Drosophila melanogaster: one gene and its partner. The protein of the gene in region 1 interacts with the protein of each later gene in a pairwise test. Each region holds a gene or a part of one and is shown on either strand. Other genes may lie near its edges.

The links. Proteins that work in one complex are often made in the same cells at the same time.
Region 2: the proteins of CG3726 (region 1) and RpS15Aa interact in a two-hybrid assay, tested with the Drosophila melanogaster proteins (one large-scale study listed by BioGRID).

The regions. Positions count from the first base shown.
Region 1 is NC_004354.4:5,915,187-5,920,129, reverse strand, and holds the start of CG3726 (uncharacterized protein), read right to left. Parts: upstream 3,034-4,943; 5' UTR 2,503-3,033; intron 1-2,502. Other genes in the region: Shmt (serine hydroxymethyl transferase), read left to right, coding at 3,661-3,867.
Region 2 is NC_004354.4:13,335,078-13,339,572, reverse strand, and holds RpS15Aa (ribosomal protein S15Aa), read left to right. Parts: upstream 1-1,934; 5' UTR 1,935-2,068; intron 2,069-3,193; 5' UTR 3,194-3,195; coding exon 3,196-3,588; 3' UTR 3,589-3,936; downstream 3,937-4,495. Other genes in the region: CG15747 (uncharacterized protein), read right to left, coding at 1-1,121, 1,188-1,198.

The DNA of each region.
Region 1 (4,943 bases):
ATGTGTGTATATTTATGGCTTCTTTTCTTTTTATTTTTTGTTATATTTTTCCGATTTGCCGTCTGCAGTGCAGTTTTTTATTGTTTGTTTTTAATTATAAATATGAGCTGATATCAGAGAATGAGGGAAAAAAAAAGTGGGGAGCTCAATGAAAAAGAAATGGTTGCAAAATCAAACCCTTTTTCGGCGAAATTGAAATTGAAAACGCTGTGAATAGATTTAAGGAACTTTGTCGGCATTTGACAAACATTATTTACGCATTGCAAATTATAGTTATCATTTTTCATATATAGTGCGCAAAACATAAACAACCCCAAAATTTACGTAAGCGAATTTTATTTGCCAACTACCAAAATGAAAATAAATAAACACATAGAGTAAACTAAACTTAAAGCTGGTATGACAAAAAATGACAACAACAAAATAATCACACACGAAAAACAATATTTCGTGTCAAAATTTGTGTCGTTTTTTGCTTTATTTCCTACTGCCGCATTGTTTTTCTAAAGAATTTTTATTTGGTTGCGGAATAACACGAAAATAAGTGTGATTTTGTTATAAATACTTCACGGCTTTATTTCGACTCGACTGTGGGAATACCCAAAAGTTTTTTACATGATATATCATATATTACGAATAATTTATGATAATGAAATCTAGATGCAAAGCTTTCAAATCTCGAAGCCCAGGTAAATATGCATTTATTCGAAATCGATTTGAAAATGTTTTATATTTCGAATTTGGTTTTGTTGGAATATCAATCGTTGTAGTTTTAGACTAATTTTAGGCTTTATTTAAGCGTTTCTCCCACATTTATAAATTAATTAATTATGTCCATAGGTATGTATATGAACATATATGCATATATGTATGTATATATTCCAAATTTGGGGGCGTGGCACGTCGGATGCTGACCTGCCCTTGTTTTTTTGCCTTTGGCTTGCTTGTTTGTTATCGCTTTTGTTCTGATTTGTTTTTGGACAATGAACTTGAAATTTGGAGCACGCGTTTCACATGTAATTGAAATGTGTGTGAGTGGGGCGAAGGCGGGTGGTGGGGGGTCGATGAAGATGGGGAGCAGAGAGCAGCGAACGAGAGAGAGAGCACTCACGCACACCAACACTAGCGCACAGAAGCCAGGGCCGGATCAGGGGGTAAATATTCGAGTTAAGTGCCATTAAATATCTTAAATGTTTTACGTAATTTTGTTGCTCAATAACCTATATATTTTGTTAACTTCATGTTCTTCTTGCAAATCGGTAGCTTGGTTCAAAAATTTCCAGATTCGCTCCTGATACGCTCTCTTCCTCTCTCTCTCTCTCGCTCTCTGCCCCCCCTCCACACAATCTTCCACACACTGATTCGCTGTTTTATTTTTTTTTGCGCAGGCGAATGCCGCTGTGAAAACAAAAAACCGAATAAAACAGCCGACAAAAACAAAAGGAAGGAGAAACGTTGACGGCGACGTCACTCAAATGCGATTTGCAATTTTAATTTTTGCCGTTCATGTTTTGCAGTTTTTGTTCATATAATTAAAGTTGTAAAAATGAATTGCCATACAGCAAAAAAACGAGAGAAAAGTAAATTGCAAATTGTAAATTGCTTTTGCCATAAAGGCGGAAATGCCTCTCTCAACAACAAAAAAACTCGCATTCAAATAGTGCAACAAAAAACTAAAAACAAATAAGCCGAAATCGACAACAAAAAATAAGGCTAAACAGGTGAAGAAGAAAACTAAAAGCCACAGAAATAACAAAAACCGATAAACCAAAATTTAAAACCAGCACAAAAAATAGCCCCAAAACTTAAGATATACAATTGTGTTCGAAATCGTAGTAAAGCTATTTGAAGCGCCACAAAAATTTACATTTTTTGTAAACATTTTTAAGCATCGACTATTATTTTGGGTACAACTGTAGCAGATAAACAACAGCCCGCAAAAAACCCTAATTATCAAGCTTAGACAAAAACTACAAAAAAAGCGAAAAAATCACACAAAAAATGTAAATTACTGGCCTATGAATTTAATTAATTTTTTGCAACTCTGTAGGTTTTTTCCCCTCTTTTTTCATTTTTATCTTGGCGATTAGTTGGCAGCAACAATTACAATAAGCGAAGAAAAAGCGCCAATCGTTTCCTGAGCGAAAAACAATTGTTTACAATAATTGCATGCGATTATTATTTATGTCAATTTCGAATATTCAGCTGGCAAAGTCAACAAACCCGGAAACCTTCGGCGAGAACAACGGAATTTTTATCGTAATATTTTGTTCGCCTTTTTGCATTCAACAAAAAAGAGCACGCACAAAACAAAACATGCAAAAAAAAAAAGAAGCACAAAATATATGATTGAAAAACAAAAACGATAAAAAACAAGGGGAGAGCGGCGAACAAAAACAGAAAATCGCACAAATAACACACAACTTTTGTTTGGCTAAAAATAAAACGACGTTCGTTTTGCGTGTCTTTTTAGCACATGAAATAAATAATTTGTTTTCTCACCTTTTCTTTATGACTTTTCGCGCTATCTTTTCTTTTGGCGTTTTTTTCCCCCCTCGAATTTCTTTTACTTTTCCTTTATGCTTTTTGTTTTGTTATTCGAATCGAATTGCACACGCAGCAGAATTGTGTCGAAAAAAATTCATTCATTCATTTAATTTCTGGCTTGCCATTTTTGTTTCATTTCTATATTTTGTTTTTTAACATAAAAAAAAATAATGCGAAACAGCGAATTCAAAACGCGCGCTTTTTCTTTTGCCTTGCGAGCGGATAACGGTAAATGCGCACAGCAATGTTTTAACATTAAACACTAACCACTAAATTGTCAGGAAATTCACCAAAAATAAATGTTCTGTTTTGGAATTGTTAAGAATGTTAGGCTCATGTGTTTGTTAATATTTTCCAGGAATTTTCTTTTAGCGGCGCAGCGAAGTGAAACGTACCGCGGAGGAGACGGATTTTTGAGTGAAAAGAATTGAACTTTCGTTGTTGCTTATATAGACTTTGGCTGGCAGCAATGTTGCTGGAGAGAGATGTTGCACTCTCCCAATCGGTTGGCAACTTAAACCGGTTCGCAGTACCAGCAATTTGGCGGGTACTTTAAATGCCTTAACGTTATCGCGCGTTTGATAACTACGTACATTTTAAGGGATTGAGAGAAACGCATATTATGATATAAAATAAAGTGTTAATATTAATTGAAGAGGCACACACGCTTAACATTTCCACAAATTGTAAATATTTATACAAGAATTGGTAGCTATCGCTAGCGTTGCCAGACGGCGCCAAAAGCTTCTAAATCCAGCGATCCAACTACCCAAACAGCTGATATCTGTTAGCCTGGTAAATGTTGTTTACCAACGTAACGCGTGTTTTCGCTTCGTTGTATTTTCGGTGTCGAATATTTTGGATGCTGGCCAAGAGATAGCGCAGCGATCGGGTCGGAACTCTTGGGCGGACTTATCACTGGGTCGGTCAGGGGTCACGGGTTATCGTTATCGCTTATCAGCCAGCGGCGGCGTCATCTCAGCGCCGGCGACTCTTCTCACTTTGCGGCAGTTCCGATTCGAACGCAGCCGTGTGAGTACTAATAATTACCAAGGATTGTTGAAAAACATCCACTAAAATCTATAAAATTCTGCTTATTACAGTTACAAAGACATGCAGCGGGCGCGCTCTACACTGACACAAAAGCTTCGGTTTTGCCTTAGTCGGGACCTGAACACCAAAGTTGGCAACCCGGTTAACTTCGAGACTGGAAAGCTTAGCGGAGCTTTAACTCGCATCGCCGCCAAAAAACAACCATCACCAACGCCATTCTTACCGGCGATCAGACGATATTCGGACTCCAAGCAGAGCACTTTGAAGGTGAGTTCGCCGGGAAAGTCCCAGGCAAAGTGAAGGGGAGGGTGGAAAAAGTGTGGCTAATTGAACCATTTGGGGGACTCGCATTTCGATTGCCTTTAATTCTTGCAGTGATCGCGGTGCTCAGAAAGTTTGTGTTTCGCTTCCATTTGCGGCTCCTGGCATGCCCGGCTAATCGCCATGTGCTTCATGCGTTTCATTCAGCCATGTGTTCCCACACTGCACTATCCCTACGTGGATGGCATGCCATCGATCCGCTGAAAGTGTTGTTTATAGTAGTATCATTGTTAAGTACCTATGTACATGTGTAGTTTAATTGAGATCTTATAGCATATGTACATATATGTACCGTATTTGTATCAGTGTACTGTTAGTGTATTCAAAACGTCGCCATGCGCCAAGTTTGAATCTTTTTGATTCACATTCGCTACCTCGGCCTGAAACTCGTTTTTGGGCCTACTCGAATTTCTCGGCTGTTTGCGCCCTATCGAGCATTGTTGTTGTCATTCTCGTTTGCACTTGTCTAAATATTTAAACTGATAACGCAAAAAAAAAAAAGAATCTGGCATTGGCCATTAAATCGAATTTCCCATTCGTGTGGGCAGATTTGTATATAAATATACATACATACATATGTATATGCATTTTGCACTCAACTTGTGGCCAGAAATTAGCATTCAATTTAGTGGGAATCACCAGTTTCCAGTTTTTGCAGCTAAAATTTTGCGTGTCCAATTCATTTCTGCGTTGAAAATAGAAGAATCTTCCAGGGATTATTAGTTAGCAGCTGGAAACGTTGAACAACAAAATGGTACTAGAGATACGTAATTTGCTGGAGGAAGCTACATACATATAAACTTGTCCATTTTCTGCCAATATTCTCCATTTCGACTATATACGTACGTTTCCCGATCTTTCCGAAGTGCGTCAGCTGCAAAGGGGGGGCAGTGTCCTTATCGTCGTCCGGCGACTTGAACTGGTGACCCAGACGGATGATAATCACTTGACGATAAGCGGATCGCAAATAGACGCGCTCTCCCATCCATGGGGGGTCGCATTTTCGATCATGGGCGTGTTAT
Region 2 (4,495 bases), 7.4 Mb from region 1:
AGCGAGCCAAGGCTGCCGCTAGGACCTCGCCCACGGTCCTCTTGCGCCAGAAGAGTGTGCGATCCACAGGCGGTTTGGTGACTCTCGGCACGGGTAGATCCTTTTCGTTCACTTCGGCATTGGAATCATCCTTTTTGGTGGGGGATTGTTGCGAGGCCTCGGGTTCTTTGGGTTTAACGGGCTCTGAACTTTCCGGAGCCTTGTCCTTATCCTCCTTTTTGATCTGGGACAGCTTATTCTTTTCCTTCTCATTCTCCTTCTCGTCTTCTTCATCGCTGGAGTCGTCTATGCTAAAATCAGAATCGGCATCTATGTTGTTGGTCAAATGTGCCTGCGCTGGTATGCTTTCCGTTTGATCCGTTGACTTCGTGGCGTCCGAGGCTGCGTCTGATTTGCTCTTAGTCTGCTCCTCTTCATCCTCGGAGGGGCGACGTCGCCGATAGCTTCGATGCTTGACAGCCTCTGCCTTAATGGGTTTGTATGCCACCTCGTCGGTGGTGGGCGCCGTCTTTGGCTTGACGACATCCTGCTGGGCGGGACCGCCCAACTTTTGTTCGTATAGATGGCGATAGAAGCCGTCCAGATCCTTTTGCTTGGTCACATCGCCAATGGCCTCGAGGTACTCATCACGCTGCTCCTGCTCCTGCATCTGGCGTATGGACTCGAGCTTCTTGCGGTAGGCGGCAGTCACGTAGGTGTCCTTGTCCTTATACATCTCGCCCTCGGCTTCGCGATCCTTCTGCACCTGCCGTTCGATGCGCAGCTCCTTCTCCAGCTTTCTGCGCTCGGCATGCTCCATCAGCCGGCCAATGTACTTTGGTTTCCGCGGCTCCTGGCTCTTCGTCTGCTTGGCCTCCTCGCGTTTGCTGTCCATGTCATCGTACAGCTCGTCGTACTGGAATATGGTTGGATCCTCGGCCAGGGCCTTCTCCTGCTGCCGGCGGGCCACGCGGCGTTCCATTAGACTAGGACCCATGGATACGCCGCCGGTTCTTGGCTGAAATTGAGGAGCAGCTGGGTCATCATCGGTCTCGGAGTCGCTGTTCTCGTCGAAGATGGAGGGCCTTTCGACTCGTTTTAGAGGTACTTTCTTCTGTTGGCCGGGTAAAATAAGGCCATATCTGCACGGTGTTGAAACGGGTCCTTAAAAAACTGCTCAAATTGTTTATTTTTAACAAATTACTTACTGTTTTGCCATTCTTGTTTATTTATGAATAATTAGTATGACCGTCTGAAGCGACCACAAAAATCCCTCAATGGTGCAAAACTGCTGACAGCAACGCTTTACCGGCTAAAAGAACCGTTGTATATCGATAGGAGGACCATTCGATAGTATTAAGATAATAGTTTGAAACACGGATAGTATCACAAAATTCGTTATTTCAATGTGAAACTACTTTAAAACTTGTGCTTTAATCAACTTGTATTTAATTGTGTTTCAATGGACCAATCATTACTTTATTTTCTGTTTTATTGCCAAACCAAGGCTCTTACCCCTTGAAATCATGTTAGTGCAACTCTAGAGACGTAAAATACACATACAAATATGGCGAAATATTGAAACAAATTAAAATAAATTTAAATATAAATAAATTGTTATGTTAATAAAGCGTTTAATTATCACTTAAGGCCTGCTGTTTTTTTTTTATTTATTTTTTTACGCCAATGGAAACATCGGTCCTTAGTCTGGCTACGCAGAAAAATATAGACGGGATCATGATGCTCGGGGGGATCAGAGAAATATCAAAGATTACTTCTGAAGCCGTTCAAGTCTATTCACATGCATAGTGGCAGTTGGGCTCCAAATAATTGGAAGCGATTTTAGTCAAGCCAGCAACCGCGGCCTGCGTCCGGCTAACTATCGATAGGCACGTTGAGCGTAGACACATTCGACAAACGCGGCCACACTGTTCTGCGTCTTTTTCCTTCCGTTTCCCTTTCTTTTCCCTTTTTCACGTTTGCGTGAGTACGTGTACTCCGAGTTTTGTTCAACAAAATTGTATTTAACTCTCTTTTATTTCCTCTATTTGCAGCGGTCGTGTAAAACAGTTTTTGCAAACAAATCCAGGTAAATGCCGCTTCCATTGGACCCGTTTTAAGCGCGAAAATTCAGCCAGATTAGATTGGCGGCGATCGCCGGCCGAAACATGTGCAAATCCACCCAACTCCGTTTTTTTTATTACCCATTTTTTTTTACTGTGGGCCAATGTGCCAAAACTGATCAGTTTACCGTGTAAACAATGCATGAAATGCCTCGCTACATGCGCTATATATATGTATTTTTTTGGTTATAATTTTTTTAATGTGCAAACGAATATGAAGTGAAAAATTGGCCAAAGTGTGTGGCACAGTGTTGTTGTGCATGTGTGGGTGGGTGTGAGCGGCTTTAAATTGTGGCAAAAAGTTGGGCATTCAGTTGAATCGAATGCACGACCGAAAACCGGCTAAATTAAACAAATTTTTACGCAGTTTAGTTGGTAAACTTACCCGAAATAGTTGTTGTTTACAGCCACTTGTACGCACACACACACAGCCGCAGAAACACAGACAGTATCATTTTTTTTTCTTTGCTATTTTGCACGTGTTTTACTTGCTGTTTCTGCTTCTTTTTTTATTCAATGTTCCGTTCCTCGCTGATTTAAAAAGTGAAGTAAAAAACTGTTAAAAATCATAATCAATATTAAAAAACGATTCGTCGTCTGTCCGCGTGAATTTCCGAAAAGGCGCCACGCCTCCTGCCCTCCAGAAATCTAGAGTATTATAATAGTAGCCACTTTTATTGAATACTTTATTATGCTCATAATGGTTCATATGTGTTAGGGAAACCTTTTTCCAATAAGTCATATGCCACACTTGTATAGGCTCCATAAGTTGATATGTTTTGTTTAGGTGGTCAATTGATCTGTTCTTGTAGTACACATAGTTTTACGTACTTTTCAAGTTAGTTTTTCATTTAATAGGGCTTAAGCTTTGTTAGCCAACCTCATAGTACTACTTATATAGTAGTTATATGCAATTTAGTGAGATACTTTTTTTTAGTAGGCTCTGAGCACGTTTTGCTTGGTTTTGTAGACTGATTTTATAGAGCAATGGGGGTGGCAAAGTCTGCACTTTCGATTAAAGCCCAAGACATCATCTTTTTTTTTCTGTGATTATTGCCTCTTGACTAATTGTGTTCCCGAACATTTTGCAGCCATGGTGCGTATGAACGTATTGGCCGATGCCTTGAAGTGCATAAACAACGCCGAGAAGCGTGGCAAGCGGCAGGTGCTGCTGCGTCCCTGCTCCAAGGTGATCATCAAGTTCCTGACCGTGATGATGAAGCATGGCTATATCGGCGAATTCGAGATCGTCGACGATCATCGTTCCGGCAAGATCGTTGTCAACCTGACCGGTAGGCTAAACAAGTGCGGCGTCATCTCGCCCCGCTTCGATGTGCCCATCAACGACATCGAGAAATGGACCAACAATCTGTTGCCCTCGCGTCAGTTTGGTTACGTTGTGCTCACCACCTCTGGCGGCATCATGGACCACGAGGAGGCTAGGAGAAAACATTTGGGAGGCAAAATTCTCGGCTTCTTCTTCTAGAGAAACCAAGTTCGCATCGTAGAGAGTCTGTATGTGCTGCTAAGGAGTTTGATATGTAGATTGACGTTTTATTTCACCGACCATGCAACCAACTATGTACTTTGTGCACAGGAAACAAGGGGCGAAAACGCTGCTACGTTCATTCAGAAAACAAACGACGATGAATGTTCACAAAGTTACGCGAAATAAAATGATTGATACATAATAATTTTAATAACGATTTTGTCTACGATCCATATACTATGTTAAGCGGTACAGTGATAAATCAATAGCGACAGTAAAACGATCTGTTAACATAAAACCCAATTTGTGTATAATATAACCTCGACCGGAGTTACTTATAGCTGGATATTGTCAATTTTATGGCTGAAATCAAGACAATTAGGATGTTAAGAACGCGCCATGCGGTTTCTTTTGAGGTGCTTAAAACACGGTTACGTGCTTTCCATAATGAAAGTAAGGGCCAATTGTTCCCACTCTTGACACCTTAAAGCCAAAAATGATTAGACCATCATAGTTTTGGTATTCCCACCTAGGTTTCTTATTATTTGTTAGAACTTCTTCACCAAGAAAACCTCAATTACTGTCAAAAATTGTTTATGAAGCAAATAATGCTTGTTAGAATTTGTTGTAGTTTCTATAGAACAAAATGTACATGTAAAACGTACATTTACATGCTTCTTCAGGTTTTCAACTGTTTTCCAGCACAAGTTCCGAATTTATGCTGTAGATAACTGCTGCAATTTTTGAGTAAAAATTTGTTTTAATTATGATAAAGTGTATTCACTCGATGAGTCAAATTTGATGTTATCTCAAGTTATCCCTAGGGAGTACTAGGTTTTTTATGAACGGGTGTTGGGTTTGTGATATTCGTTTTTAGGCATTACTTGTTATCAACACTTAAAGT